Linked DNA regions of Styela clava. The protein of the gene in region 4 purifies or fractionates together with the protein of the main gene of each other region. This does not show direct contact. Links are inferred from orthologs where the notes say so. Each region holds a gene or a part of one and is shown on either strand. Other genes may lie near its edges. The genes, in order: proteasome assembly chaperone 1-like, F-box only protein 7-like, PSME3-interacting protein-like and proteasome subunit beta type-7-like.

Evidence for each region.
Region 1: the proteins of proteasome subunit beta type-7-like (region 4) and proteasome assembly chaperone 1-like purify together in Homo sapiens (affinity purification with mass spectrometry; 4 studies listed by BioGRID and IntAct, counting the BioPlex papers as one, with this or other methods). This does not show direct contact. The link is inferred for Styela clava from reciprocal best matches to the Homo sapiens genes PSMB7 and PSMG1.
Region 2: the proteins of proteasome subunit beta type-7-like (region 4) and F-box only protein 7-like purify together in Homo sapiens (affinity purification with mass spectrometry; 3 studies listed by BioGRID and IntAct, counting the BioPlex papers as one, with this or other methods). This does not show direct contact. The link is inferred for Styela clava from reciprocal best matches to the Homo sapiens genes PSMB7 and FBXO7.
Region 3: the proteins of proteasome subunit beta type-7-like (region 4) and PSME3-interacting protein-like purify together in Homo sapiens (co-immunoprecipitation; 3 studies listed by BioGRID and IntAct, with this or other methods). This does not show direct contact. The link is inferred for Styela clava from reciprocal best matches to the Homo sapiens genes PSMB7 and PSME3IP1.

Annotation. Positions count from the first base shown.
Region 1 is NC_135259.1:12,684,093-12,692,712, forward strand, and holds the start of proteasome assembly chaperone 1-like, read right to left. Parts: upstream 3,331-8,620; coding exon 3,110-3,330; intron 2,777-3,109; coding exon 2,688-2,776; intron 2,541-2,687; coding exon 2,427-2,540; intron 1,796-2,426; coding exon 1,695-1,795; intron 1,531-1,694; coding exon 1,335-1,530; intron 686-1,334; coding exon 552-685; intron 1-551. Other genes in the region: modulator of smoothened protein-like, read right to left, coding at 6,434-6,955. UniProt on the Homo sapiens protein: Chaperone protein which promotes assembly of the 20S proteasome as part of a heterodimer with PSMG2.
Region 2 is NC_135258.1:7,335,024-7,343,137, forward strand, and holds F-box only protein 7-like, read right to left. Parts: upstream 3,135-8,114; 5' UTR 3,112-3,134; coding exon 1,582-3,111; 3' UTR 913-1,581; downstream 1-912. Other genes in the region: BTB/POZ domain-containing protein 8-like, read right to left, coding at 174-333, 795-859; ATP synthase subunit O, mitochondrial-like, read right to left, coding at 3,610-4,254; erythroid differentiation-related factor 1-like, read left to right, coding at 5,005-5,234, 6,502-6,745, 7,283-7,400. UniProt on the Homo sapiens protein: Substrate recognition component of a SCF (SKP1-CUL1-F-box protein) E3 ubiquitin-protein ligase complex which mediates the ubiquitination and subsequent proteasomal degradation of target proteins and plays a role in several biological processes such as cell cycle, cell proliferation, or maintenance of chromosome stability.
Region 3 is NC_135263.1:8,597,892-8,606,170, forward strand, and holds PSME3-interacting protein-like, read right to left. Parts: upstream 2,950-8,279; 5' UTR 2,422-2,949; coding exon 1,675-2,421; 3' UTR 1,006-1,674; downstream 1-1,005. Other genes in the region: dolichol-phosphate mannosyltransferase subunit 1-like, read right to left, coding at 99-209, 592-691, 890-990. UniProt on the Homo sapiens protein: Promotes the association of the proteasome activator complex subunit PSME3 with the 20S proteasome and regulates its activity.
Region 4 is NC_135254.1:4,864,428-4,872,718, reverse strand, and holds the start of proteasome subunit beta type-7-like, read left to right. Parts: upstream 1-4,669; 5' UTR 4,670-4,798; coding exon 4,799-4,860; intron 4,861-5,607; coding exon 5,608-5,787; intron 5,788-6,912; coding exon 6,913-7,060; intron 7,061-7,904; coding exon 7,905-8,013; intron 8,014-8,291. Other genes in the region: glia maturation factor beta-like, read left to right, coding at 2,769-3,206. UniProt on the Homo sapiens protein: Component of the 20S core proteasome complex involved in the proteolytic degradation of most intracellular proteins. This complex plays numerous essential roles within the cell by associating with different regulatory particles.

The DNA.
Region 1 (8,620 bases), on a different chromosome or scaffold from region 4:
GAGGAACAATGATTAAATAGTCCAGTCACTAAAATAGTCCCTTTTTTAGACCCTCATTGCATGGATGTGGTCAAAGACTTCTTGTACAGCAGCAATCTCCAGTAACAAAAATAGTATTGTAATAGCACAGCCCTACACCAGTGGTTTCCAACCTTTTTTTTCAAGGGATCAAAATTTTTTTTTAAATAAATTTGATAAAAACCTGCGGCCTACGGCTATGCTCAAATACTAAAGGGCATGTAGTACTTTCATAGTCGCAAAATTGAAGGACTTATATAAAACAAAGTAAAATTAGTAACTTTTAGGTTTAAAAACAAGCAACCCAGGAAAATCTTCACTTCAGGCGGCTCAATTTTGAGCTGTGAACCATAGGTTGAGAAACACTGCTCTATACTACAGAGTGAAAAAAATCTCTGAAAAAAGTAATGAGAGGCTTCCATGGAGTAATCACCGATGGCCATATATTCACAAAATTCTAGTCTAATCCACAACTACCATGAGTATTTATGTTACAATATCATAAATGAAATTGTGACTAGCCTTATACTTACTACTGATATTTTAAACTGAGGTGTTCCTAGCAGCTCAGTAAAAGCTTGAATTGATAATGAATCTAGTTGATTATTTTCAGTATAACAGATGTAAGCAGTTGCAGGAATATTTTGAAACTGACAGTGGGTGATGACTGTGAAACAAGAAAAGTGCATTAAGTGTAAAAGTGTAATTTTTTGATTACTCTCAGAATGTGACGCGGGCCATAGATAATGAAGCGGCCTGGGTTTGAACCACCCTGGTCTAGGCTAAGATAAGGTAATTATAGATTGATCACTGTGGGAATTTTCATCCTTAATAACCTTACATTGGTTGTGGCTCTGAACTTGACATAATGAATTCTTGGATTTGGAAGGAAATTTCTCAGTTAACGTACTCAATAACGTACCCAACTCTGTACATCAGACTGAAAGATTAATCTGGCATTAATTGATAAAAGCCTATGAAGGCAATATAATCAGACCGGCAACTAACTACTTGACCATTATACCCACAAATTGTATTAATTTTTGTTAGCTTCATTCATAAAGTCTTGAAATCATAGCATTTTACCACAAACAAGTATTCCCTGGGAGCTACAAGAAACGTCAGTTACTGCTAAATACGAGCTAGTAAGTTATCCACGTAACGAGCTATAACCTTCCAAATAATCCTTTCTTCCAAGAGGCTTTTCAGATCTTTGCAAGCTGTGACTTAATATGTATTATTTTTACAACCATGAATGAAAGACAACACGCTTGTGACAGAATCGGGCTTGAATGAACAAAAAAATAAACGCTTACTTGCAGCAGGTATACTTTTCATTAAATTTGGTTGTTCAAGTACAGTAAATACTGGATGATTCTTAGGTTTTGTTGTTGTGGATAGAGATCTTACAAACGGAGTATTAATTGAATTCATGTCTTCACATTTATATTCATGTATCGTGGAAGATGACAAGACGAACACATCTTTTAACGGTTTGACCATATTGAAGAACTGAAATTGATAAAGAGTGATGAAATGTGAGATTAAAATACAACAAAAAATATTGCCAAACAGTTCTGGATTCTCAGTAAAATATTGTCAGATTCTGTAATTCTCAGATTATGTAATGCATATACAAACGAATAAAATTTCAAAAAAACCTAAGAATTAATTACCTTTGCTGTCCATGGCCAAATTTGTTCTGGTGGAATATATGACTTACAGGATACAAAAATATTCCTTTTTTGTTTATTAAATTTTTCATAGATTGTTGACACTGAAATTAAAGTATATTGTATTGTTTTATCTGAAAGTTAAACAATGACAATACTGTTTTAAATATTGAAAACTATCAAAATTTAAAACATCAAAACCAATGTTGGATGCAGACACCCCCTTGAGACGAAACAGACCATCCCTTGGGATGATCATCATTTCCTCGACTGAATCAGTCAGATAATTAAATTAGATACTTTGAAGTAGTAGCGCATTAATTAGATGCAGTTATGGAATCTATATTCATGTTGTTTGGAATACTCCAATTACTGTATTTTATCTCATTTCTGAATATCCAAATCAATGTTTTAAAGATGCAAAATCATGCTATATGCCAAGTTTTCCTGTAAACAATAATTTTATACATTAGAAGTTCCACTGTATCAAATATGATTGTGATCAAGCGAATGCTGAAAGCTGCTCTGTGTGATAATCCTGTGCCAACCACTCTCGAATGGGTGGGAGATAATTATGGCCATATGCTATATGATTGAGCAGTCCTATCGTCTCTCCTCTCCATGGGATAAATATGACCAGATTCATTAAATTGAGACCTCTAGGTGAAGTGATAACATACATTTGCAACAATTTATATCCATCATAAAATTGCAATGTGTTCTTGAGTTACTTACCGATATTAGGTTGTTTTGAGATAGCTTCATAAATACAATCGTCCTCTTTTGAATTTTCAATGATTTCAACTACTTTGTCAGAATTCTGCAGGTCATAATATATTTTGAGAAAACCTAAAGAGAAATGTTAGTTTATATTTCAAAAGGCCTAGTGAATTACATCACAAATTTAACATCGTAAAAGTTTGTACAATAATATTATATTATAAAATATATAAAAACTACGGTAGGTCCGTAAAAAATAAACATGAAATAACTCACTCCATGCGACTTCTCCAGCAGCAATAATAAGATTATCACACTCTAATGCTTTCTGATCATGATCTGCAGACCATTTCAACACCAAGTCTCTAAAATAAAATATCAATAATCAATCACGGGATAACAATTGAAAACATTATATACTGTATGTATCTAGATAATTGTTCCACAATGCCTTTATTTTGATACATTTGTTCTTAATTTAAAACTTTGCCCAGAACATTACAAATCACATTACAAAAACAACTCTATAAAAAGCTATTACACAACCTCATAATTAACAAGTTTTCTTGCAGCGACCAAGAACAATTTTAATGGTAACAAGTCAAAAATTACCGACATTCAGCGATTTATAAGTTGAATCAAGATAAACCAATTTCAGTCTTGATGTTCATTAACATAGAAACAGAAGAATACCAAACCTTGGTTTAGAAGCATTCTCCTCTTCCTCCTCGTCAACAGCTCTTGAAATAACTGGTAATATTTCTCCATGAAAAGTTGCCATTTTGTAACAATAAGTACCGGTATGTAATATCAATACTATTGAAAATACAACGGACGTTGGAAAACATAAAATGCAATCAATGATTATACTGGACATGTGCATACTGCTAGAAGTTACTGTGTCAGGATATTGTGACATCAAACAAAAATATTTTCATTCGAGATAAAGAAATGATGTGAAAAAACATTTTTATGACCTAATACATATTTATGGACAAATCAAGTATTTGAGATGACTTGGAATATGAGCACAGTAAAACAGTAATTAAAACAAAATTCGAACAACAATTCTGTATATTATGCGCATTTAGGGTGCACAAATCTGATTTATTATTATGCAAATAGAATGCATGGCAGAAACATCTACATATTGTAAGATTTAAATAGGGGCACCTTTATTAATCTTATACTGAGATGATGTTGAATATAGACAAGATTTTTCAAACAGAAATAATACAAACACTGCTAGTATATAGGACTACATAAGAAACTGAATATTGTTAAAAAAAATACTGCGAATGTAACTTATGATTTACAATTCGGTGTTAATAATAGAAAAAATAAACAAAAACCTGGTAGTCAATACCAAAACATACAAAGACAATATAAATGTATAAAAGCATAATGATATCAAAATCAGGACATTTAAACTGTATAGAATGGCAGACCTTGAAAAAAACAGTTTAATTAGGCAAGGATAATTGATCAGTCAAGCATGTGATGGTGGATAGGCCTCGTAGGGCGGGGCTTGCCATAGTGTGATACCATCAATAATAAGACAACAAAATAGTCCAATCTTCTTCCAATCGGAGAGAGCCAATGATGAGAGTTGGGAATATATATTTTAGGAGTCCGACAGCATTAAATCATATCAAAAATGTCATAGAAGCAGGGATGGCCAATTCGAATTAAGTATTCGAATATCTCGTCATTCGAATATCGGAATTCACGTTCATAAGAATATCGGATATTTGTGTGACGTCACACATTTTCCACGCCGCTTTCGAGACGTTTCCGTTGAATAAAAACATTCTCGATAGAAACTTGCGCGTGATTGATTTCATCACTCATCAGCGTAACGTGTTATTTAGGCCCGTAAACGCCTTTACGATTGTGTTATTTTCTCTAAAACGAAAATTTTCTACAAATTTGTTCCACGATAACGATAACATTTATTTTATTTTTGTAGGCGCACGGAATTGTGAATCTGGTAAATACGTTCATCGGCGGCGAGTTTCTAAAGACAACGCAACTTTTTGATTGAAAAGCGGCAATTTAAAATACTGAAAATAAAACCGTAAACAATATAAGTTTTATTGAGGCCCGCAAAAATTTAAAAAACGATTTTCTAGGCAGTGAAAATTGCAAAATTTCGTGGGCCTCTGGCACACATTATGTTTGGTCGGCGTTTAGAAACATATCGTCACTAATTGAGGGCGGGATTTGCCTGATTATCCATTACCTCAAATTGCCGTCGAATATTTTCGTGTTAACACGATACAAGGTTTGAAACGCGACTTTTTCCCGGGTTGTGAGGATGTATATAATATAATTAATCTAAAGTATATTCAATCAATTTTATTGTGATGAAATAAATTTTACTCTGAGATATTACAGCATATTTATGGATTTTTCGAACGGTTTTATCTAAAAATAATCAGAGTGGCAGCATTTCGATCGAGCGAAGTCACTGTTAACAAGTACATCTAAATATTTGCCGAATTCGCAAAATACGGATCAAAACAATATTTTATCGGGCAGTTCACCTCGCGTTTTTATTTTTATGACCGCGGATTGCAATGGTATATAATAAGACTGGTGAGGATTTTATTTTGTCGACGCAACCGCAGGTTAAATTGAAGACAATTAAATTAATAAAGCAAGACATTTTAAATATGCCCGTGTCGGTCACGAATTCATCACTTTGCACAACAGAAAAATATATATTCGTTGTTATATTATTTGTTGTAAAAGTCGACTCTTTTAACAGGTGGCATAATCGAGGCGATGAATATGAATTTTTAATTTACTGCTGAACTTTATATGTATATTCATTGTATGAAATGAATTATACTCTACACTTAACAGGATTTTATATAATTATTTAAGATTTTTCTTACGGCGATAACGAGTTGGCAAGATTGCAAAAACACGTATTAAAATTAAATACATCAGGCAGTTTATCTCGTAATTTTAGGTCACAGATCGCCGTGGACCGAATAGTATTGTTTTACTATTACGTTGGACACATTAAATTAATATATAAAGATATTTTAGAATCTCGTAGTTGTCATGGATTGAATATTTTACGTAACAGGATGATCATTATACGCTGAAAAGACGGCTCTTTTAACGAGCGCGTTACAGGCGGCAATGGAAATTTCCGATTTCGAAAATCCTGGCTGCGCGGCTGGCAGTGGTGGTCATCTATTCTCTACTAATTTATTTCTAATTCCAAACACAGCAATATGTTACACATAATAACAATATGTTTCACAAAAATTACTATACAAATATACAAAGGTATTAGAATACTCTAGGCTTAAATATTAGAATTTTTAAAGGCATAATGGATTTTTGATTGTTGTTGCCTGTATTACAAATAAATTTTATTACTCTCAGAAAATATACACAATTATCTGAATACATGTAGTATTTTTGTCAATAGACTTGACTATTATCGTATATCATGGTACCACTGATAAAAAGCGTCAGTCAACTTCTTGGCTATCTTTTCATATGGTCATTTGTACAAATGAATAATTTTAATGAACTGACTGTGTCACAAGTTGCTATTATTTTTTATCGATAGCTATAAACTTTGTGTACATATACTGTTGGTTTGTGGCTTTATTCTGATATTTCTATTGAAGCTTATTTTCTAATTTACTGGGTTTTAATCAACTAAAACAAAAATGTGTTATTTTCGATTTTAGAATGTATTCGGAATTCCAGATTCGAAAACATTATTTTAGAATGTATTCGGAATAGTTTAGTATTCGGAAATGGCCATCCCTGCATAGAAGGTTGCTCACTCAGTTGCTACTCACAGTGCCTTGAGCTTACTTTCATGAAAAAATATGATTGATGAAATTTCATCCACACGGAAATGTAGACAGAAATAGGTGTGGCCATTTGGATCATGTCGCATGATTTAAAATAGACATTTTAGTAAAAATCATTCACATATCACAAACCAAAAAACTAATTTAATTATTTTTTATGACAATTCATGATATTTATCAATTCCGATTCATCATCCATAATCTCATTGGCATCATCAACATGCCCCAACCGGAACATGACAAGATAATGGAAAACACCCAAAGCAATTTATAAGAATCCCCAAGTCTCCATAATTCTGGCAATTTGAAAGCTTCACCTCCAACAGTAACTTGTCGAAACCCAATCGGAAATAACATTCCAACATATGATAAACATCCAATTGCTATAAACGCCATCCATCTTGCATAAATTAGTCTATCACGCTTCCAATGTGAAGATACAACAAGTAAACATGTTATCCCCAAACAGACAATTCCGGCTACTAAAAACAGTCGAGTCCCGAGCCATTCTGGTGGTAAATCTGGAGCAAAACAAGATTGTTTTCTGCCATAAATCGTTTGACATTGCATTGTTAGACCCAACGTAATATCACCAGCCCGTCCACCCGTATTAATCCAATCTGGGTGTCCAAGACTTGCAACAGCAAAAACTTCAGCAGTGACAAATAAAACTCCTGATATTATTGTTAGCTTATCCATTATTGAATACTGGAATAGCTACCTTGAGATTTTTTTTATGAAAAGAAAATATATATATATATATATATGTATAAATATATAATATCAGTATTATACAGATATATAACAAAACTGAATACTTAAAAATATGGGGGTTTAGTGCACCTAATCGCAGAGACACCATAACGACTTTAACGATAACCATAAATAAACGATAAATTTATAAATAAATAAAAATTCTGGCTGTTTTTTCACATCACATTTTTGTTAGCCGTTTTTTTAAGCAGTCGCGACATTTAGTTTCATGTCATATTTTTGTTTGGCATTAGGCTATTTAAGTTATGGCATTTAGCCTACTTCACTAGACTCAAATATGGTGTGACTTGCTAGGTATATTACCGGTATATAATTTATATCTACAATTTTCAGATTTTACGATATTATCTTGCACAGTTGCTAAGCTGTTGGCTGGTCTTTGATTCAATAACTGTAAAAACTTAATTCTACATGTGAACAACTGCTTATGTCTATATGTCCGTACGTGAGAATATGCAGCAATCCAGGATTACAATAAACCATAACGGTACCGCATACACCGTACAGAACAGTACCGGTACCAGAGCGGCATCGGTAGTCTACAGTTACTGATAAGGCAGTAAGGGTAAGCGATAACGTTAACTCCTACCTGTATACTCACTTTGCATACCGCCAGCCGATATTATTGAACGCGTGCTATCGTCAGCGTTTTAATTTTGATTTCACATACAGGTATTATAAGTCCCCTACTGTCAGACTGTATTTTAGGTTGAACATTCAATATCACATTATATAAAAAACATTCAACGATCGTTGATAAAATAAAAACACTGCGCGGCGCCGGGCAAACTCCACAACTGAGCCTTGTACTTCACGGCCATTGAAATGCATGCATGTAGCCTGATTGCTTGGTATTTATTTACGGCCAGAGTCCTTTCAGCTCCGGATTGAAAAATGTCATTTTTTAGTTTCCCATCAATCTCTAAATTTAACAGGACGATGAAGACTTATTATTATCCCATATTAAATAAAGTAAGTGTTCATTTATTTTCAAAAATATGTATTTTTTTGAAATTATGGAGTCCAGTAGTTTTTAACTCCATCTATAGAGGACTTGCACGGGTCACGTGACCTTGTTTACTGGACGGCAATAAAACAAAAACGTCCATTTGGCTCCTGTCAGTTGCAAGTCGGATTATACGTTTCCGTTTTGTTTGGCTGTTGAAAATGGTTATTTCGTATTGTTCCGCTGGCTGTACGTATAGTATAGACAACGAAATGGATCTTCAGTTATATTTCACTGTTTTCAAAAGATACGGAACGTCGCGCAATGTGGATATCATCTATTAGCAGGACTGCTTGGTGTCAAGTCCAGAAGCCATCTCACTTGTGTTTCACTGTTTGCGGACAGCACTTCGTTGATGGTAAGTCATAATGTGCCGTTATCAATTTTTTTTGAATATTCAAAAGCTAGCTCCCTCATTTTAATGGAAAGCAGATGACAAACTACTGTTGTTGGTAGGCGTAGGCCTACTTGCAGGCTTGACTCGTGTAAGGTATTAATCAATAATTGCCATAAGGTATTGTTTCCCAGGTAGCAGGTAATCTATTAGTAAGTGTGAAAAGTTGAATAGATAACTAAAGTTTAAC
Region 2 (8,114 bases), on a different chromosome or scaffold from region 4:
TCAACATAAATGCAAACACCAGTATTCTTGTGTAGGAGAGTCCAACAAATCGACCAAAAGAAGCAGTTCCATGAAGAATGCCAAAATTGTATAACAGTTTTAAAAATTATAAACTATAGGTACCTCCCATGTGTTTGCTGAACATTAATTTTGGTATATATCCCAATGCCTACCTTCAGTACAATATCAGATGCTTGTGGATGGAAAAATTCATTCAACAGCTTTTGTCCAAGATCACATGATGGTGATGGAAGATCGGAATCTAACAAAAGCTTCGACTGAAGGAGATTTGGTGAGAGTGAACCTGTCATCTCCGTGAGATTATCAGAAAAGCTGTAATGGAAAGGAATCCACTGAATGTCTTATGAATTCTGAACTGATATTTCCTGATGTCCATTGTATATAGTCAAATTTCGTGCTTTTTAATAAGATTGAATTTTGAAATCCTCAAGATAGTCATTTCAGTCATGAGCTGAGCTCATTTCCTAGTCTGAACTTGTACTAGAATTTTTGCACATGCCACATCAAATTGGAATGCTGATAATCTAAATTTTTACGCTATTCAGACAATCACAGTTTTAGATGGAAACTCGAGCCTTCTCGAACTAAGTGAGATGAAATTTTTATATACCTGAAGCCAGTGCTGGGGCTAGCAAACTGTTCAGCTCAAAGTGGAGATACGAATTCGCTGTAATAACTCTTTGGACATGAATTGTAACCTTAATTAGCTTTTAACACAAATGATTGGTTGCTCAACACACAAAGCACTCTAACCCAATTCATATGCTACCTACCTTTTTACATCTTTTTCTAACGTTCGAGCGAGGTTCTTAGATAATTTAGTTTTAGTCAAATCCATCTTCAAAGATCTGGTGATAACATTCCAATTTCAAACACAGAATGAAAAGTCAATCTATTTACAAAACATTAAAGAATATTTATTGCTCAAATCTTATGTTAACGTAAAATTAAATAAAGAAACTGAAGTTTTATATCACAAAAATTTCAAATTAAATCAGCACAAAAAAGAAGATCGGCGAGTTATCACAAAAGACCACAATCAACATTTATCAGTAACTAAAAAATATATTTCAACGAAATTATTGCCTGAATATAGACGATTCATCAAAATCTAGTAAGATTGAGCTTATTTTCAAAACAAGTTGCCTACCAAGTAAAGTTAAAATGATCGTAACCTAAAATGTTAATGTTAAGCTATTCTGGCAATCTAAAGGTTTAGATAAAAATTGTGAAAACTTCACAGCTAACAATCTGTAATTGAATTTACCACTTTTGCAGTTATTTTTACTACGATTCACAAACATTCTAGGTCATTTAGGAAACGTTACAAGCTTAGAAAACAGCTTACTATTTGATACAATTGACACAAACGGGGCCATGTGATGGAAATGTTCCTATTTGCATTTATCCTGTAATTATACAGATGCCTACAGAATGTTGCATGAAATGAATTTGTTATATCATCTCAATTATTGCTGTAAACACACAGATTTGAAAAAAAATCACACGTAGCAGGGAGAAGAGTGTAAAGTAACAATAACATGGGAATTTAAAGTTAATTTACATGAACCCATATCTCTGGTCATGTCGTGACCTTCTTTGGCGACCTTGAAAAGGCATCGTTGGAGCCCCAAACCCTTCAAAATCAGCGTCCATCATTCCACCACCCCTTCCAGGTCTGAAACCTCCACCAGGAAATATGGGGTCATATCGTGAACCAGGAAGAGGATTATCTGGATGCATTGGGTGATTGGGTCGTGATGGGGGTAAGCGTCTGGGTGGGGTTGCAAATGGTCCATAAGGAAAAGTTGGATGCAAGTCATGTTCACCACCTATCATTCCAAATGGTTGCTGATCAGGAAATGGAACAGGTTGACCAGGAATTGGGGTCGGAAATTGGGGCCAGGGGTCAGTTTGATAATCACGATAATAGCGCTCCATGTCTTGTTTACGTTCCTTTTCTCTAACGAAACGCTTAGAATATGTTTTTTTCCAAGAATTTTCAACACTAATGGGATGGGATTTGAAATCCTTTATATACAAGTTTCTCCATAGATTTTCATCATTGGTTATGTCCTGTAATGCTTTGTTTACTTGGGATAAAGATATCAAGCTTTTACAGTCTAGCTGTGAAAATATTAGTTGTAAAATTTCAGGAAATAACGACAAAAGTCCATGAACTGGTGGGAGTTGCAACTCTTCTCTCATGTTATTCAACGCAGGATGAGCGATCGTTTCTTTAACTTGTCGATTCAATTTTGATAAATTCTTGTAGACAGCGGCAGCATTAGAATTCTTAGTGGAGGCTGTGAAACTTTGAATATAGTCTTTCGTCGTTATTTGAAGAGTTAGGACTTGTTCGTTGGTATTGCGACACGGTTGCGCAACTCCATTAACAAGAACGAATGAACCAAGCTGATTGCAAGTGAAATTGAATTTCAAATCTGGGCCTGCTGCATGACTGTATTCTACTGCGAATATTCGAGATTGTAAATGGGGTAATATGTCACTATGCTCGGTCATTCCTTCAATATAAAATCCACTCTCACACATCATAAAATGCAAAGCGATACAAAGCGCTTGAAATTCATTTTTAATAAAATCATCTTCATAAAGTTTTTGCACTAAGTGTGGAACATCAGATGAACCATTACAGTCTCTGAAAAATATGGGACCAGGTGATGAACAAGGTATATATTCTGTAGTTTCTGTTTCAGTAACTGTTGATGGACCAGGTTGATCTTGCTCAAAGGTTTCTGAAGCCACGGACATTTCAGACATCACAGGAGTAACCGAGGATGTGTTTTCTTCCACAGAAGTTTGTGAAATTCCCATAACCAATGCATTATCACCAAGCAAGACCTTGATGAGATCCCCAGATACAATTCCTGCTGATTTTAAATTACTTTCTCCTTCTCCTGCACATGTTTTACCATCCAAACTAATGTGAAAACTAGCATCAATATTTATTCCCCATTCTCCAAACGCAGTTTCTCTTATTGCTGACTTCAAAGTTTCAAATGTAGGTTGCGGTTCATCTTCAATAGTTATTATTTTCGTCTTTTTCTCGAATCTTACTCTTAGCTTCATTGTTATTTCATGTTGTCAAAACTTATGTTTTTAACCTATATTTTACCTAATATCTATCTAAATTTAAACACAAGATACAGGGATCAAATTCAATATCAATTCAAAACAGGTCCAAGAAATGCAGAAATGTATGGGAACATATTCAATCACATAGAAAAGTGGCAGAAAACCAATATCAATGCAGAAATTGACAATCATTGTAAAATACAGTCGAAACAGTATATTAAATAGGCATGAAACTTAGAAGCAATGAACTAAATTGAGAATTTTTTTGATACGTAAATTATTAAATATTTCATGCACTATAAAATATAAATTCTAGGTTGTTGGGTGCATGAGACAGAAGCCAAATTAAATACAAACATGGAATTGATAATATGATATTTCTTATCCCGTAGCATATTTGAAAAGCGATACATTAAAAGATATATCACATTAAAAATCCAGTATACTCTATAAACAAACGTCCTAAAGAAGCAGATGAGTTGAAATGCTAAATTAAACATTTTGTCTGATTAAATCTGAATACAAGGCAACTTTACTAGCTGTGGACATATCAACATATTTCATATCTGTATATTTATCGCCAATATCAACAATAATGCCACCAAGAATTGTAGGATCAACTTTTGTCGTCAGCATCAATTTTTCATTCGGTTTCAAGAATTTGGTTAATGCTGCTTCCAGATTTTTTCGTTGCTTAACATCCATCTCTGTTGCCGTGGTAACTGTTGCTGGAACTTCTCCCCTTTCTGCACTCATGATTCGAGCGTATACTTCAGCAGTTTCTCCCACAAGATTGAGACGTCTGTTGTCAGCTAATACTCCGAAGAAATTGACAACAGTGGATGTCATTTTGACTTTACTAGCAACTTCTTTCAGGAGGCCTAACTTGTTTGATGTTTCAACAAATGGATCATGCATGTAATCAGCGACTTTCTGATTCTTCAAAATCTCCTGCAATGTGGTTAAATCCTGCGCGACCTCTGATTTTGCTTTAGCTTTGGAAGCAGCTGAATATAATGCGTGTGCGTAAGTTCCGGATATTCCAAACACAGGAATTGGCGTTTTCACCAAATCTTGGCGAAGAGCCGAAGACGTGCTGAGCCTTCTACAAACCAATTTCGTAATATTCGCAGCCATGTTTATAACTAAAACGAAACGAAACGGACCAACCAACAAGTGAAGAAAACGCGTCTACAAAGTTACAAGGTAGGTAGTACACACACCTCTGTGCAAGGTCGACCGATTGAATTTTACTTGCCAGAATTAATCTATAAAAATATACAATATGATTATAGAAACAAGTTATTTTGAATACTTAATATATAAAAAGATTATATTATGAATGTATTGCTTGAAACCAACAAAATTAATCAATTTCAACATAAGGAAACATTTTGTGCTTTCAATTTTTTTTGCTTTCACAGGTGAATCTGGCATGAGTATTTGACTGTTCTGATGATATCTCAACGTCGCCCACTGGCGATCAGGGTTCTGCAAATTTTATGACGCATAGAGGCAGTAGAGGTTCTACGTACAAATATTGTTGCCAGATTTAATAATGTTAAATCACTCAGTAACATTTATTATCGAAAAAATATGAGTAATTTCATGTGGACAGTATAAAAATGATTTGAGAACAAATTCAATATACATGTTAGTTTTGTTCTTTAAAATATAATTTGAAAAGTAACGAGGTGATGTCTTTGTTGTTTCAAATTACGAAAAGAAATGGCAAGTGACATTGCCGAAGAATTGCATTTTCCGGAATAGAATTCTTAACATTCTAATAATTTTCAAGTTCCTGTATAGTCTGACTTTCGTTTTATAGAAAGTTTAGATGATTGTTGACACATAGAAGCGCATTGTCGCTTACAGTACATCTATAACATGGAACCTCCGCCTGATTGTTCGTCTCATTACATCAAAAATGATGAATATTTTCCACCAATTACCCATTCATCGTCATCCAAGCGGAATGAAAATGGCAATGGATGTACAAACGGGGATTTCCTTGATATATCGGCGAAAACTGGACATTTTGGATTTACAAAAACGGATGTTTCCCAACCATCTACAAGCAAAACACTGGACAAAATAGAAGGAAATCCCTCTGTTAGGTTAGCTCATGCTTTTGATTCTGTAAATTACTGAATTGTGGAAAAACCGCCAGCTATTTTAATCTTTATTTTTTTTTAAGTGTGTGTTCTTGTGCTTGGATTAATTTTAAAGCATCGTATCCCCAAAGCAAGAAAAGACGTAGGGTGGCTTACCCACTTTGAGGCCACGACCTATTTGCGGCCATCAACTTCATCGATCTAATTAAGGCTGAAAAAATTAACGAACCGCGACGATATTTCTCATGCGGTATCGTCCACTTGTTCCTCATAGTTCTGCGAAATTACACTAAAATGCGGCCACAAACAAAAAAGTTACGATTGAAAACTCGACTGAAGAAAAATAAAGGACCTTTTTTCATGTCGCCAACTACCCATTGTCCCATTAAAATACTTGAAAATCCATACAAATAGGTCTATAAGAAATAAAAAGATGAAATTTGGCAAGGGGGTAGAGTTGTATTTCTTTTAACCATCTTTAAATTTTTGCGCTTCTACATTTAAAGGAGGGGGAATAGGAGGGTGCGATTTCCAATACGTCGATAATATCTTTGTTGACCAATTTGCAACCACCGTGTTTTTGTCTGTTTGATTGCTGTGATGCGGTGCTTTGTATATAATTTGACGAGTTTTGTTCGAAATGACCGTGTTCTTAAAATATATGACGGCCAGAAATGCAATTAGTAGTCCAATTTTTTCACGCATGGCTGCGTATGCTCTAGCATCGACGCAGCAGAAACAATGTTCATGGCTTGAAATCCGTGATCGCACACTGGTCGTTCGGTCGCAAATACATCTTCTGAGTGTCGTACCTTGGTAGTTTGTATAGCTTTAACCCCTGATCGTAGAAAGTTTATTCGAGGTTTAGCGTGTAGAATAAATGCCAATGCACCTACGGTTAAAAAAATTAACGGGTTAGCAGACTGGCTACACCACCCACCAAAACTCATAAACGAATTTTAAGGCGAGGTTGAATGAATATTACAAAATTTCATCGACTAAAAATACTAAACTCTCGAAGTAGTCTTAATTAATAATAACTTAACTTTGAAAGCTCCCTAATAATTGATCAAAGATCTCCAGGAAAGCACTGCACTAAGCTTTGCGGGAAATTATACAATTTACTACATTCTGCGTGGGGTGGAATTTAAACTCAAGATTATATTTAATCATCTACTCTGATATAGTCGGTTAACTCTAAATACAATGCATTATTTTTTTAAATGTAATGTCATAAGCAAGTTCATAAAATAATTCATAACATTTGCAGGTCATCAGCCATCATAGCATATTCAGCAACAAAAAACAATGCAATGTTCTCCCATCTCGCTCCAGAAACAAACTTGAATCTGGCACCTTCAAACTGGCTTCGAAAAACGGTCGGACTTCGCCCAGAGACTGTGTTGCCAGGTGGCAGATATTCAAGTAATCCAAATCGTTCGTTCAGTGGATTCAGTATGGCGAGTGGCCACCTTGATAGTGTCGGCAAAGTAGATGTTGTGTCAGATGCAGAGGTTTGTGTTATGTTCACATTATATATAATCGTTCTTGAAGTAAATAGAACTTTTTAAACCATATTATTATATAAATTATATCATTCTGTCTAAAATTAGTTTCATCTGCATCGACATATCAATTGCATTGCAATTCGAGTGCTACAATTGCTGGTTTTGTAACGAACTTTCACATACTCATCTTACAAACATTAAATTCAATAAGTTCTTTGAGTTCTGTATGTTTTATGTGAGTGAATAATTGTAACCTTGTTTTAATCAATCTTTCATGTGCAATGTTTCAAGCCCTTGTATGTGAATTTTTAGAATATAGAATATGTCACATAGCACAAATGTGAAACATGTCTTTTTGAACACCTTCAGTTCCTGATGCTCAACCCCGTCCTACTGTACTTGAGAAAGATACGAGTTTTTCTGAAAATATTAGCTCATGACATATTAGTGTCTATTTGTCCAGAACCCCGTTAGTAATGAAGGTATGAACCCTATCTTGAAAACTGCTGAGAATTATAACTAACTTGTATTTCTCTTTTTCAGAATATCAAGAAATTGCTGAAGATGCCGTATAACAAGGCCCATGTAAGCATGGCAATACACAGGATTGGTAGAACCTTGTTATTAGAAAACTTTGATATAAAAAGATTCACTGCTGAGGGTGAGACTTGTATGATTGTATATATAATAAAGTCTTGAAATTTTTTTAAAATAGCGAAGGGAATTTATCGAACCCATATGTCGTTTTGGCCCTCACAGATGTATTAATAAATGAGGTAAAAATACTCAAACAATTATTGATTAAATAACAACGAACCTGGTTAGTAAGATATATTGGGAACTGACTTCATAACAAAATGGAAATTGTAAAGGGACTTTACGGACCTTTATATAGTAGTAAATAGTGAATACCTCATATTCAACAAGTATTGTTTTAATCTGCAATTGAATGTGATCATCTAAAGTTTGACATCTTATTTTGAATGTAATGTATCAATTGTTTCTTACCAGCAAAGCATAATACGAGAATATCGGTCTGAGACCGAAGACTTATGAATTGAAAGTTAGGGGATCCCCCAAAACAGCACTCTTACTCCATAATGACACCTTGTGTCCCATCACTAATTATTAATAACTCGCTAATTATACGACATAATTCATCCAAAATCAATAGGCTTCTGGTACGACATATGATGAATGCACATGCAAAATCTGGAGCAGATTCAATCTCCCTTTCGCGTGCATCTAACAGACAAACAGACAGACAAACACCTATCAACATACTTACCGATTAAAATCGACAAGTAATAATCCAGGAGTGTGCAAGTGCAATACAAGAGAGCTAGTTATAAATAACTTGGTGAAACTGCGGGCG
Region 3 (8,279 bases), on a different chromosome or scaffold from region 4:
TGATAGCCGATCGACCAGTACAAATCAAATGTGAATAGTACATTTGAGAAACCTGCTGCACAACTATACAATGGCAACTAAAACCATACTCTACTCACGTGATGTGAAAGGTCTGCATCCATTATGAAAATAAAATTGCCTGTTGCATGCTTAATTCCATGAATGTATGCTGTTCCAAGACCCAGTTTCTTTGCTCTTGGGCGCAAAACCTGAATGAATTTATTAGGGCTTTTTATTCAATTTATTAGGGCTTGAACGATTAGAACTTCCAGCCACTGGCTTCTAGATCGCCTGCTCTTGAATGTATGTATGTATCATTTTCACAGTAATCATATAAAATCAAGATGTAAAACTTAAACTTAGCATAATATTTTGCCCAACTTGAAATGCTCAAGAAGTTTCCTTCAAAATTAGAATAAAATGATATTAAATTCGCTTTGTGATCTTTATAGCATGCTTTCAAAACGTAAATATAGAAGTATAAATTTGAATATTGACAAAAATTACAGTATTTTAAATGAAATAATTTGCATGAAATCAGAACATACGATATCAATTTTTATTTATTGAGGTTTTTATAAAATAACATACGATTTTATCTTCTCCGTATATATCCTGCAACTGTTTGGCGACATCTAATGTACCATCTGGACTCCCATCATCAATGATGATAATTTCATGATCACAACCTCTGAAATATTTAACAATCTTTAACTTCGAAATCAATGTGAAAAAAAATGGCTCAGATAACTGGGAGGAAATATTACAGAATCCATATTTTAGATAACCATCTATCAATAGTTTAAAATTCTACTGTTTATTTGCTCATACTTTATATTGGAATAATTGAATATGATAAGATACATATATATTAAAATCGAAAACTCACATTTCTTTGAAATATTTCATCAATAGCCAGATAATTAATGGCAAATTTTCCCTTTCATTATAAGTTGGTAACAAAACTGAATATTTATTTTTTGACCCCATAATTCTTAAATATACCTATTAAGAAAAAACAAAAAGTGCAGATTTATTCATAGAACACAAACACCACAGATTAAACAAGCGTTAGCCTAAAATGCAACATGCCAATAAATGATAATTGTCATCAGGTACAATAATTTTAAAAACTGAGATTTTGTATTCAGGTGACCTCAAATACCTTCATAATTTAATAACATTCATTAAAAAAAGGAAAATATCAGACATGCCAGAGGAAGCGTTTTTTTATAATAATACGGGCATTTCACACAGTCAGTCACACACAGGGAACTATTTTTCAAAGAACCCAGTTTGGTATTGCCTACCCAATTTATTACAATATTTATTCAACCAGATATGCTAGTTAGGTATAACATTCTTGGCCATCTCAGCCAAACATTAAATAAATCGAAGAGAAAATTAAATGTTCATAACTATGGGGTTGTACAGAAATTTGTAAACAACGAAATAGACATGATTGAAATTTTGAACAATGAATTGCAACAAAAGAAGGTGGAGACCCTAACCCTGTGAGTATGTGGGCTAGCGGCATTAACAGAAAATTTCCAAAGTCGTTGACACAACACAGCTGGAAAAATTTTCATTAACTTAGGTACAAGTTAAGAGTTGACATGAAGTAACTAGTACAACTCTATGTGCGAATTTGAAAAAAAAGAGCAAAAAATGAAGTCATCGAGACTTATGAACAATAGAAGATAATAAATTATTTGATACAGAACCAGAATCATCAGAAGAGCTATCACTTTCCGATTCTTCTTCACTTTTATCATCACTATATGCTGCTAAACCAGGTAATACACCAACAAGCTTAGTTGCTGATGGATAAACTATTGTTTGTGTAAGGTTCTTATCAGCATTGTTTGATTCAGTTTCGGATTTTTGAATTTTCTCTGGTGGACATGGGTTTGTCTGCTCTTTATTAGAAGTTTGAGAACTTGGTACTTTTCGTTTTACAGCATTTTTCAATATGCTTTGTTGTGGATTTTTTCTGACAACCTGTGATTTTTTTGGCAACTCTTTTTTGTCCTCCGCTCTTGTTGAAGAATCTATTGGCACATTTGGAAGTTCTCTTGACTGAGCTACGGCAGTTCGAAAGTCTTCAAGTTCTCTTTTTTCTTCATCCCGTTTCTGTTTGTCAAGTTCAAAGTTTCTCTTTGAGACATCAGAAAGAAAATTAGATTCATCTTGATCTATCCCTCGGAATTGATTTTTAAACTTTAATTGTTCTTCAAACTCATCTTGTTTTTTGTCTTTTTGCTCTTGCAATCGTTCAAACAATGATCTGCTGTCATGAACTTCTTCTGGTGCCTCAACAGGGTCTTCAGGTTTTCTTAATTTTTCCCATTCTTCCTGTCGAACTTTCCTCTTTTCTTCCAACTGTTTTTCAGATACAAAGCTTTTAATACCAGAACTCATTGTGAGTCAGCAGATGAAACAGATTAGTGGATTAAATGAATATTGAAATATTTTATCCGGCTAAAAACGTATCATTAACGTTAGTTGATGCGCTCAATTACAGAATGTATCTAAAACCATACGGTAAAATGTTTGCACATAGACCAATAAACATCGGTATTCATTAAACAAATTGAATGAAAAATATGCATTCGTAAGCAGCAATTGCAATAACTGGAAAACAATAGCCTAAATGCAATAGGTCGCACACGGGTCTCGTGTAGTTTCGTACCTAACGTACTTCTAGTAGGCGTAGCATAACAATTTTTTGACATGCCAATCCTAACCCTCGCCTGACTACGCCATCCAAAAATTACGTCACTACGACGTCACAATCACGTCATAGAGCTTGCCAAATACTCGTACGATCGCCCGAAATAGCATCGGCGCCGACGATAAAGAACTGACTGACGTCAGCGACCTCTCTCCTATCGGGATCGTTGCGACGAGAAAACGAGAGAAATGGCTGTTCGATTTGGGATTCTCGTCTTCGCGTCTTGGATGACAGTTCGCATAGTTTGAAGGGCTCTATTACGTCACTGTGACGTCGTAGTGACGTAATTTTTGGATGGCGTAGTCAGGTGAGGGTTAGGATTGGCATGTCAAAAAATTGTTACGCTACGCCTACTAGAAGTACGTTAGGTACGAAACTACACGAGACCCGTGATGAGTGAAGTGAAGAGGATGATATATTATCCTACACTGCTAGAGGCGGTGAGGATGAGATGTTATCGAAAAACATTTTTATCCTACAAACTTTACATATTGCAGCTGGATGATACCATGGTTAACTGAATATTCAGTTAACCATGATGATACGGTACGATCGGTGCCGGTACGATAGTCAATCAGACTGACACTAGTACAGTACAGTAGTATGGTATAGTTCAGGGTGGTCAAAACCCAAGCCCGCGGGCCACATGTGGCCCGCGTCGCATTTGCGAGAGGGTAAACAAAAAGTCGCATTTGGTGTTGTTTCATGATAAAAAAGAACCAGAAAAATCTTTTGACACGTTACATCACTAATTCCACTGAACAATGACATTAAACAACATGATAGGCAACTCTGACGTCACTCCATAAGACTACATGCGAAAGATTGTATTTCATGATACGCTCCAATGCACATATTTCTCGTCGCCTTTCGCGGCCGTTTTCCGCTCGCTTCTGCTACTCGGCGTCTTCTTTACGTGTAGTACCAGCCTTTTTGCGCCTGTAACAAAAGAAAATAATCTCTATATCTAAGAAGTTTTGCTCATTTGGAAAGCTGGAATGGCAGACAAGCTGTAAAGAGTAATTCTGGACATCATAGACGTTTTTTTTTATCATAGAAGATTACAAACGCGATAGCGTGAAGATTTGTGTGGGACATTTTGCAGATAATGACAAAGTTCAAAGTTAGTAATTTTAATGTTTGCGTTTAAACATTGAAATTTCATTTAAAGAGGGTGTCATACAAAACAGTAAAACTGTTTATACTTCTCTTAACGGCGATACAATTCCATAACACAAAGTTTGCACCTATCGAACTTGCTTTAGTTGGTGAATTTATGAGACATATTACATATTTAGTTAATCATAGGTAACATTGCTGGTACATAATGCCTCGTAGATAGGTATGTGTCTAAACTTAGGAATTTCGCTCATAGCCCACTATTTAATATTATCTTCTATGCAGAAGGTTGCAGGGCTGATTTAACTTGCAGCCTTACCGATCACCTGACGATGCTCATTTATTTTGGTTCGAACAAGTCATCTTGAAAGACTTGTGTGAATGGAAACTAACTATATGTTTTGCCTTCCTCCGATTTTAGAAGACAAATTTATTCTGAGGGGTTTCGCATATAATTCTCATTGAACGTTGGCTGTTTACAATTCCTATTAATTGTGAGTACTGATTATAACAGAGAGTTAAAAAAAAATTTACGTAATTTACTGGCACCCTTTTCTTGTCAATACTCCAAGCTGAGGTAATAAACAAGGCAATACATTTATGTCATCTGGAAGCAAAATATGCACACTTATTAAAAGTTTGACACATTGAGATAATACACCATGACAGAAAATACAAGTTAAAGATATGTATGACCATCACATGATAATTAAAATTAAAAAAAAATTAATAGGGGCTGTGGAGTATGAAAAGTTCAAGACAAAGAAAAGAACAAAAGTTCATAGAATTTTGCCTCCATTGCTTTGTGAAGGCCAATATATTCCGAGTTGCTGAATTGGTTTACCTTTATGATAGCAACGATTTTGTAATTAATATAGCGAGATTTTTTTTCAATTCAATTGAAGTGATATTATTTCCCAAAGCAATGCTTTAATCGTCTAGACTCTAGAATAGATGGGTGGTGTCAAACTCATGGGTTTTCGAGAGCCGCATTGCATGTTGGAAATTGTAAAAAGGGCCGCAAACAGTTTTTGATAATGTCTACTTAAAAGATATTTTCAAGATAGTTTTAGTTTGTGACATATATTGGGATGCAACTAAACAGTTGGATTAAGTTTTATTATTTTCTTTAATTTCAAACGCAATTACATATTAATATTTGCATTCCACTATTATTGCACTGTATTTATTACAAAAAATCATAAAATTATATGTACAGCCATCAAAATCATTTTTGAACAAGCTTTGGATAAGGAAAGAATAATACATACACTAAAAAAAATGACTTAATCTAAATATATGGACCTAAAATTAACAAAAATACTACAGTATAAACTCAATGTTTTTTTAATTACATTTGTCCTGACGTTTGGCATCTTTTTTGTGTCACCAGCATACTAAGGCCAGGCTGATATGATTTTGTATTACCAACTCTAACTAACGAGGTCACATGATCATGGGTTAATCTGGATCTTTGCGAATGTTTAATTAATTCCAGTAATGCAAAAAAGTTACTTTTATCATACCATGTATAGATCAGTAAAAAAAAACAAATGACAGATTTTTTCGACAAGACATTTCGTGCCACATTGCGTGGCATAGGATTGCTTGCATTATCATCGATATTGATTTTTAGTAACTAAGTCGTTGTATAATTATATTAATATAAAAACACATGGAAATTTTCTGTTCGGAGTTGGTCATCGAATTTGTCATATTGACTGCTGAGCTTATTGTGTTTTTTCATTGTATTGATGTAAATATGACAAATTAAACAGTGTGCTTCAGAATTTTGTGAAATGCAGAAATATTGCAATTCCCATTTTCTTTGAAAATGCTACCTTCTTCATGTACTTTGCGTTTAATTTAATCACTCAAGTGTTTTATTCAAGTATTCTTTTATTCTCAATTGGATCAAAATGTGAACAAAAAAAAATTAATTTTCCAAAACTACTTTCAGTAAATTGTTTTCTGTGTGAATAATCAATTTCACTTTAAAAGGTTTGAAAAATCTATTACATTTAGATAAAAAACCCTTCCAAAATACTATAACAATTATTGTTAGGCGTTCGAAGGCCGCACTGGAAGTTCTCTGGGGCCGCGAGTTTGACATCCCTGGTCTAGATTGAAGTTGTCCAAAATATATAACAGTATTTTATCATGAATCTATATCATATCTATATTACTACCAAAAGTTCTTCTATTGCAAACATTAATGGAGTACTTCAATTATATTTCTTGGAATTACACTGTCACTGATATGTCGCCAGACTTCTGATATCTCCCCTTCTGCTACAGTTGTCCTGTGAATAAATAATAGGAAATTGAGGTTAGACGAATAGTTGAAAGTTTTGCTTTATGTCGGATTAATTTCTTGATTGATATACATACTATTTCTGCTATTGCCTCTTGTGCTGCAGGAGTCTCACAATGCTTAGACAGGTTTTTCCACAACTTTCCCATCTGAAGAAAGAGAGGAGATTTATTAATTTTCGTTAAGAATAAATAAAGCAGTCTATATGATTTAGAGTGGAAAAACTAATAAATCTAATATCCCATGTCTATGTAAAATATGTTTTACTGAATTTGGTATATAAACCAACTAATAAAAGGGTTTAGTCAGAAAATTACAAGCATTCTTATACTTGAAATACTTGAGAGATCAGACTGTACAATATAGACCGGTATGAGTAAAATGTTAGGTGAACTTAACCCTTTGATTCAATACGCAAATAAAAGTTAATGAGCAATAGTAGGTTACAGCAATGAGTATATATCCTCACTGATTACAAAAAATCTAAATGGAGGTGCATGAACTATTTGAAACCATAAGGGGTAAGAAAATATGCAATTTCGGCAAATGGACAACTACGTACCGTACTGAATTAATAACTTCGTAGTATTTGACAAAAGCTGGCTTTCCCACATGTACTTAACAGTGCGATGCCCGGGTGTGATATACAACAATAGTATTTACCTTACCTTTTTCCAATTTCTTTCTACCTCAACTTTACAAAATATCATTAAAATCGACAACAACTGTCAAAGCAGGCACGAACACCATTCGTGCTATTCCTTGAAAGCAGCACACATCCGCTCGTTGTCGTCTCGTCAAGTATGTGCAGTGGAGCGTGCTATCGGATACGATCTTCGGCTAAAAATGGCGGAGTTGCGCATCATGTTGTTTAATGTCATTGCACTGAATTGACTAGTGTTTTGTCTAGTTGAGGCAACTAGCAAAGTTGAAAGATGTGTAGGCTGTCGAAATATTTATCTGGCTGTTCATCTTTTTGGTTGGGAATATATGCTAACAAAAGAGGCTTCATAGAAAACTGAAAATCGAATGAGGAATCTATTAGCCTAGGTTGGCTATGCCTGATAACTAAATATTAATGTTATGGCCGAACAATACAATTCCCGCCGGGTGTTTTTTTTTTGTAACCAGCCTAAACAGTATTACAAAAAATGCTGCCTATATGTCAGAAAATTGAGTAATTACCCTCCTGTATCTCAAATTAGTAATCAATCAATTTGCAGTTACGTGTAAGTTATTTTGTAAACATGAATTTAAAAATAAAGCTGACCAATTTAAACATATTTTTGACTGGGTGTGGGAGCGAAAATACCACAATGCTTGCTTGATATGTCTGCAAGTTGTGTCGGTGACAATTTAACACGGCAGTTTCTCTTTTTGATACTTTCTCCGTTATGAAAAGATTGAAAATATAGTAGGATTTTTGCACGTTTTAGTGAGTTTTTTTTGTGGTTTTTGCATGCTTTAGCTTAAAAAAAGTTAAATAATGATCAATGTATTTGACAATAAAAGTGTTTGTTTTGCACTGTTAACATATTCTTGGCACTATTGTGGCCCGCGAACAATACAAAAATAATAGTGTGGCCCGCGAGGTCGACAACCTTGAACCAACCTGGTATAGTTCATGAAAGGTTTTGATCTACTTCCTACTTCCACATTGTTGATAATAACTAAATGTATCAATAGAATATTCATTGAGCTAGTAATACACAGCCTTTCACGCTGTCGACGTTTAAAAATATAATGAAGCAGTCACATTGATCAAGGAGCTTCGAGCATAATAAGTTAGTCGCCATTTGATCGTCTCATCATACTCAACAACGTAGCTAAAAAAGTAAAATTACAGTCCAGCCATGGCAAGACTTACATTCACGTATTTGAGAATCTCTTGGAATTTTATGTCTCGATCAAATTTTTTACCCAATACATTTAAATTTTAAACCATAAGACGTCATAGATAGACAAACGCTGACACACAATCACATAAAAATGTTGAAAAAAAATCACTCACTTGGTGAGAGAAACCGGGGAGGGCCCGCGAACTATTCGATTTTTTTTCAAAATACTGACTTGGCTTGGATTTTGTAACTGTCCACCCGTTGACAAAAAAAA
Region 4 (8,291 bases):
TAATATTGTTATATCTTGCCACGACTTGGCCAGAACTAGTTCAGCACCAAAGAAATGGTATTGTGACATGCTTGAGTATATATATATATTTTTTTAAATATATAGGTAGCTAACGTACCCGGATGATATTTTCTTTAAATAACTGCACACATTCTATCACTTCACGCTCGTGTTTTTATCTTTTTCTAGCTGTGATGTCCTTATCATACACGCTTGGTCTTATGTTTGAGTGGTGGTATAAGGGTTGTAGATAGTACAATATTGTTCCTGCAAGGTTACTAATTATTGCAACTAGGCGAGCAGTAGAGCTATGTTGGTTTCTCCCCTTCAGATTTTAATTTGCTGTGGGTCATTGTAATTGGATGTGGTTTTTATATCATTTATGTATGCATGCGTTTTATGTTAAGGCATGGTGTTTGAGTTGACTTGTTGGCCAAGGTATAGATAGTAAAATTTTGTGTGTTTTTTGCATGGTGTGATAAATTTTTCTCTGTCCCAAGCAGAATGTCATCATAGATCATCTATCCATCGCTATACAATGACAATACATCCCATTTAATTAAACAATTATTTTTTACCTGTAATAAATAGTTCAGAGCGTTCCCCTTCACCCAATCATTGAAACATCTACTCGCAGTTTTATTTTTTGTTTTTCAGGTTACTTCAAAGTGATTAAATGAAGTAAAACACATAAGAAAAAAAACAAAAAAAGACTCCGATATCCTGTGAAATAACAACCTTATTCCTATATCCTTGTCTGAAATCAATACCCAAGAATGAAAAACCTCACTTACACCCTTTGTAACCAATTTATTTCCACATCCTACTTTACTTAATTATAGTAATTTTAGTGTTACCGGTAACTTTAATTACTTACTACAATCTGGACTATAATTTGGCAATAATAGGCTCTAATTTGGGGAATGAAATGGTCTCGCCCACCTCTTCATGCACCCAATTCTGGCAACTTTGGTTGGGCAACTTGGCATTTGACTCCAACTATAATCAGCTTGGCAATATGTTTTCAATAGAATCTTCCTTTTATATCTTAATTAACGATTAGAAGATCGATCAATTTGGCAATGGCAATCATTACAAAAATATCAATATGGTGTGGCAGAAAATTTTTTTTTTCTTTTCTTGTATTTATTTATTTATTTTTTTTGTTTACTGTATAGTATACCCTAAATTTATCGCGTCTTATTCTTACTTAAATAAATTCTCAGTGGTTGTGTGTGTGTGTGTGTGGCTGGTGGGTGCATGTGAGCGTGTGTGAAATAACTTAATAATTTTAGGTGAGTAAACACGTACCACTTCCTCTCGGCAAAACCTTCCATCTTATATTTTGTACGTCATAAACCTTATCTAAGGTTTTGTTTGCTCCCCTGATTTCATAATCAGTTTTTATTTATTTGTTTTTATCTGTCAAATGTATTGTTATGCTGATTATGGAGTCGAAATATACTTATACTTATACTTATACTTATAATATAATTTTGACTGACTAATTATGTACAGCCCAGAGGCCGCATGTAGACGGTTGGGCCATGGTAACGTTGTTCAAATAGTCCATTATAAACTCAACTAGTACCATATTCTCCCAGACTGGATTCCATAGCAGGTGCACGCACGAGAGCGCTAGCGCTCCGCAAAAATGCTCGCGAGCGAATTCAATTTTGCACGCGGACAATTTGCAATTGCTCACCAATGTAAATCGGTTTAAATGGCTTTAAAATCAATAATCCAGTAATATGAAGATGCCAAAATATTATAACTCCACAATTGTCGACAAATACTAGCTTGCAAGATTTGGTCTAATCGAAAAATTGCGAAGCAAAAAAGACCATATCGTGTTGAATGGTAGGAATCCTGTGAGAATAGTTATGGACGAAAAGATCGCCTTTGCACCAACGCTGGTCAGGTACGGCTCTGATTCAGCGTATTTTTCATGCAATAATTTTACACGAATGTACTGAACAGTACCGGTATCTGAAGTCGCACAAACACTCTCAAAATCATCGACAAATTGTAGAAATAATGTTTGGGGTCAAAGGTCAAACAGCAATTTTTGGTCTGATTCATCGTATTTTTTATGCGATACCAGTAATTTTACGCGGATGTATTGAGAGGTATCTAATGTCAAAGTCAGTTGCACGCGGGCGCAGTTGTCTTGCAGTCGTGACTTATAATTGCACGCCAGGAATTCTTATCTGCACGCGGGAATTTTTGATTGCACGCCCGATTTCTCGTTCAAAAAGGCCATGAAATCCAGACTGGATATTCTCCACTACTGCCACTATCAAGTCAAGGTGTCAAGGCATCTGAAATTAATTATTTGGTATCTAATCCCACACACGACACAGACTGGTAACCAGACGACAGGCCATGCTTGTCTCTATAATCATCGAAATTACACATGACCTGTCACATGACCAAATTGCCGTTTTCGTTCAAAACAAATGCCAGATAGAAAATATTTTCCTTTGGTAATCAGATTATTCTTTTCCAAGGAATTCAATGATGGCGTTTTTAGATTGCGCTTCTTTGTAGTATTTTGCGCAACTTCATTTTACTTTATTTTCATCAATAGTGAGGGTCAACCATGTCCAGATGTCTCCCAAGGGCGGGGTGTTTGTTCATTGGCAAAATTGGATTCTCTAAAACGAGACAATGTTTCTCGATCTGTAAAGTGTGCCGTACTGCATTCAGTAATATGTACCTCAATTTCAACAGCTTTTAGTATTGTAATTAAACAAATAAAAAAGATTATGGCGTCACAAGGCTTACAAACTGAGAATATGTGCTCAATTCAAGAAGATGTTGGAAAACGTTTAAAAGATTTTAAATTTAGCAAAAGCAAGAACGCACGTGCAATAATTTTGAAAGTAAATATGTCTGAAGAAACTGTGGAAATTGAAGATGAACTTGATGACATCACAACTGAAGAACTGATGGAGGAATTACCTGAGCGACAGCCTCGCTATATAATTTATAGCTACGTGCATGAAACGTCTGATGGTCGCGTGATGTACCCACTTTATTTCATTTACTTCAAACCTACTGGCTGTAAACCAGAACAGGTTATGCGTTATGCCGGATGCAGAGACGAGTTATATAACCTCAGCGGAGCTGGAAAAATGCTGAGTCTTGATGAAAAAGAAAATTTAACGGATGAATGGGTACGAGCACAAGGAGGTTTGAAGTGATTGTTACATCATAAACTGTCTTGATTACTCATTTTTATCGGCTTCGGAAAACATTACTCATAGCCGAAATGTATTCATTATTTTCAGTCAGCAGCAATTAGTCATCAGAATATTGTTCAGGCTTTATTAATTCTGAATAAGTTGCCAAATTGATTTTTTATTATTTTAATATTATATTGAGAATATAATCAGTGTAAAACGACATTTAAAATGTACTTAAAAGCAATGATTGCCACGTTCTTTTATATGAAATAAGTAATGTATATCAGAAAATATGTTCTGAGAATAAATTTTTTTAGTGTACTGTTTATTATAATCTATAAGTACAATGATTCATGTTAATTTGAATGAAAAACAGTTTCTGAAAATTCAAGAAATTTTTCCCACTGTTGTAAAAATGCTCTATATTTCGTATTAGCATTCCAGAATATAATTTGCCATATTCATTCTGAGAGACAAAAACGCTGAGACGCTTAGTTGTGATATATACCTGAGTGCAATAATATCAAAAATGTTTTGTATTTCGATTATGTTATTTCTACGTAATGGTTGTTAAATCTTCATGCATATCTATGATGGCCTATTGGTTAGGTCTTGTATGACTATTTTGGTATGGAAAGCTAGAGATTTGTGCTGCAAATCCCCTTATAACCCAAACCATAAGCGTAGCCGGGTGGCTGAGAACCATGGCCCCCATCCAAGAATTTTTAGCATTTCTTTTTTTTTAAACACAATTTTTTGAGACAAAATTATTACGCCTTTTCCAACATCATTTTACGCTATTCTCGAACGATTAACTGAAAACCGACTCTTCCTGGCTTGCTTTGTATACCTTGGATAATTTTGACAGCTAAGCAAGTCTGTAGAGATAATGTTAAATATCAGTGCCTGCTTTTATCTTGCCTTGTTCGAAGCAAAAGGCACAAGTGAGTGTTGTATTATGTCTTTATGCGAAAAATATTGCTCCCCCCCAAATCTTGGGCTTGCTACGCTCTTGTTCTTTGCTGTAACTCTATACAGTTTCATTAGCTCTTGACACTTTATTCTGAATTTTTGTCAAAAAATTTCGATTTTGCTTTAAAAAATTCTTTTAGGAATATTTGAAATTGTAATAAATTGCAAGATACAATCCTGGAATATTGATCTTTCTAAACATGAAACCCTGGGATTGTAAAATTAAATTTAACACAACATTGGCTAACTTTATTCTGTTTTGATTAAAATTCCCAAAATTTTGACTTTGACTTGTATTGAACTGTAGTTATGCCAGTGTGCTAAACACTGAATATTCATGACATGGATAAAAAAAAGCACAACCGGTCGATGTAATTTGTCGAATTTCTATGCATTAAACGTCATGAGGGTATGATATGGAAAAGACGATAGTAAATTTTATTTTATTTGCTAACATCGGTTGTGCCACCTCTGGTGGTAATTACGCAACATTGGTTGCCGGTTGGGCTTTATTAATCCACTTGGTGGCGATTATGTGCCGCCGAATAATCATGCCTGTTATTTTTATCGTATTCTTAATTATGTATCTTCATTATTTAGCCCCACTAGCTTAATTAATAGAAATTACCAGTACAAATATGGCAACAGTCAAGTGCCTCACACGTCCGGAAGGAGGATTTTCATTTGAAAATTACACAAGGTAATTACCGTAATTATCTAGGCCTAAAATGTTTTGGGATTTTGAAAAGAACATTTTGTGATTAATTATCTGGCAGGTATATTGAATGGGGGGAAAACCACTGAATAGAATAAAACAAACCCTTAAGATTCATCGAGAACTGACGTCATAACAAAATCGAAATTGTAAAATGACTTTATGAAATTCAACCTTTTATTGTTTTATGCAGATTTATTTGTTTATATCTCAATATATTTCCTTCACTGAAATTTCCGCCAATGGCATGACCGCATGTGATTTGGGTGTGCTGATATTACATTGTGCAAGACTGCTTCGATAATCCAAAATATGAGTACCGTATCTATCAAAATCCACCTATCAGTCAATAATTTTTGTATATGCCTGTAAAATATAACTACCCTTTATATCACAAATTTACCGTAGTAATTCACTACTGAATATATAAGCATAAGGTTTCTCTTCCACATAGCATAAAGTAAAGATAGTTAGTTTTGCGCTACACCAACTGAAATATTTCTGCTGTAAAATTGAGTAACACACAACTTCTTCAATGGGAGCTCTTGTATTTGTGGCTTTGCCCCGACTTGCTTCTTGTTTTAATTAAACTCTTCTCGTGTATTATTTTGTCACTTTTCTTGTATAATAACTGTCAAAAAGAGGTAAAATAGCCTACAAAGTGAGTTTTCAAACATTTTCTAAAGATCAGTTCTATTTCCAACAAATTTACATAAAACTTTTTTTCCACAGGAACACTTTTCTTGAGAATAAAGGACTTGCTCTGCCTCGAGCGGTGAAAACCGGGACAACTATTTGCGGCCTCGTCTACGCTGATGGAGTAATTCTGGGAGCTGACACTCGGGCCACTGAAGGAAATATCGTTGCAGATAAAAACTGCTCCAAAATTCATTACATTTCACCCAATATTTAGTAGGTTTTTTGCTTTTCCTAATTATTCATTTAAGATGCCTGAACTTTAGTATAGTATCTCAAAATTTTACTTATATGCGTTTAGGAGGATCTACTTTATCTACCTCAGGGCTTCCGAAATTTTTTAGCTTGAGTCCCCTTCTAATGTATTAAAATTATCCACGAACCAAACCCTGTTAAGTCGGCATTGTTACGCAAGCCCTGATCTTATGAGTTAGGGTTTTCCAAAAATTATAGGTCGTGACCCCTTCGATATATTGAAATGTTTTGCGACCCCTGTTCACGTTTGAATAGCTAAACAGTTCGAGATACGCAAGTACGAAATTCTCCTCTGATCCTATGTATTTTCTCGAAATCGTGAAATTTATGTTTTGCACTAGTTATAATAATTGTGTTTGAAATAGAGCTCTGTGGCCCCTCGGTGGAACTACTGCTGGAGAGAGCAGGGCTACTCAACTGGTGGACCGCGGTCCGATTTCAGACCTTCCGAGTGTTTGATTCGGATCGCACCTAATTCTTTATTTTGGATCATTAGCTCTACTTTTTAAGTTTCATTTTATGAAATGACTTTTATAGTTTTGAATATATGTGAAAAGAATTATGACACCATAATGAACAATCTTGATTAGCTAACAATCATTAGCCGGTCGAAGAAATGCGCATTTTAGGATGCCGAAATATAATTTCTGGAAAGACCGGATCCAGATAATTTTAAAGTTTTGTATACAAATCTTCAGTAAAAATAGTTGAGTAGCCCTGCTATAGACCAGGGCTACTCAACTATTTTTACCGAAGATCCTTATACAAAACTTCAAGAATATTTGGGTCCGGACTTTCCAGAAATTATATTTCGGCATCTTCAAACACGCAATTCCTCGGCCGACTAATGATAATTAGCTAATCAAGATTGTTTGTTATGGCGTTATAGTTCTTTTCATATATATTTTTAAATCACTAAAAGTGATTTTATAACGAAAATTTTAAAAGGGGGGCTAATGATTCAAAATGAAGATTTATGCGCGGTCCGAATCGAATACCCGAAAGGTCCGGATTCGGACCGCGGTCGGCCAGTCGAGTAGCCATGCTATAGAGTAAAGCAATACAGAACTGTATATTGTTTTATAGCTGCTGTGGTGCTGGGACAGCTGCCGATACTGAAATGACAACACAGATGATTTCATCGAACCTAGAACTCCACCGACTCGATACTGGACGCGTCACCAGGGTTGCAACGGCAAATAGAATGCTAAAACAATATCTGTTCAGATATCAGGTACATGTCATCAACAATAGAGATACCAAATGGTCACACACATGACAATTTCAAGAAAATTTGCTTAAAATGTGATCAATCGCTCTCGCATCTACTAATAGGACAGGAGGCACATCTCAAAGCACTTTTTACTATTGCCTACTCATATTTATTATACATTGAATAAATAAGTCCTATGTTTTTAAATCACGGATGTGCAACCTGCGGCCTACAAGAAAAAATTGTGCGGCCCGTTGGCCAGATATGGCCTGCACAGAAAAATTGTGTGGCAAATGGAGAAATGTCAATTTTTGATGATGTGCGGCCCATGAAACTTGTTTTTAATTCTGTTTAATCTGGTACGTGCGAGTAGTTTTACATTTTGAGTGGGCCTGGGAGCTTTGTACAAAATATCTGAATAAATTCATACTTTTAAGCACGCTAGTCACAATTCTTATGTCAGTACAGGGAGTCCTCGGGTTACGACGGTAGCGACTTACGCTCGCGCACTCCATAACGCTGTTTCGAGAATACGAACACACTCCATAAAAAATATAAAAAATAATACTGTACTGTACAGTATTTGCTTTTATTCATGTGATATTTATTTGTTTTCTGTTTTTTTAATAAAATAATTCTTTGCATTATTTGTACATTTTATTACAGTACCATACTTTACAATACAGTACGATATGTAGTGGAGTAATTTATGTACTGTACAGTATAATGTTCCGACTTACACTGAAATTCGGGTTACACCGCGTCTCGGGAAGGGAACAACGTCGTAAGTCGAGGACTCCCTGTACATTCCCCTTTCAGAACTTCTTCTTTAAAAACGGTATCACTGACTGTCATTTCTTTACAGGGTTACATCAGTGCTGCTCTTGTACTTGGAGGTGTTGACTACGCAGGGCCCCATCTCTACAGCATACATCCTCATGGGTCAACCGATAAGCTGCCGTATGTTACTATGGGTACGTTGGGATAAAAATAAATCAAGAATTATTTCAATTAGATAAAATATATGCTTTATAGCCGTGTTTTTCAACGTATGGGTTGTGACACAAAACTGGGTCAACTGTAGGTCGCTTGTTTTTGTTTTTTCAACAAAAACCTATAAGTTACTAATTTATATTTTCTAGTAAATTTTATTGTTGATTATATATTTGGCATTACAGTGTTGCTCAATAGTATTTTATGTATGGGAAATATTACTGCGTAAAAACTTGTCAGCATTTATTTTGCTAAGTAA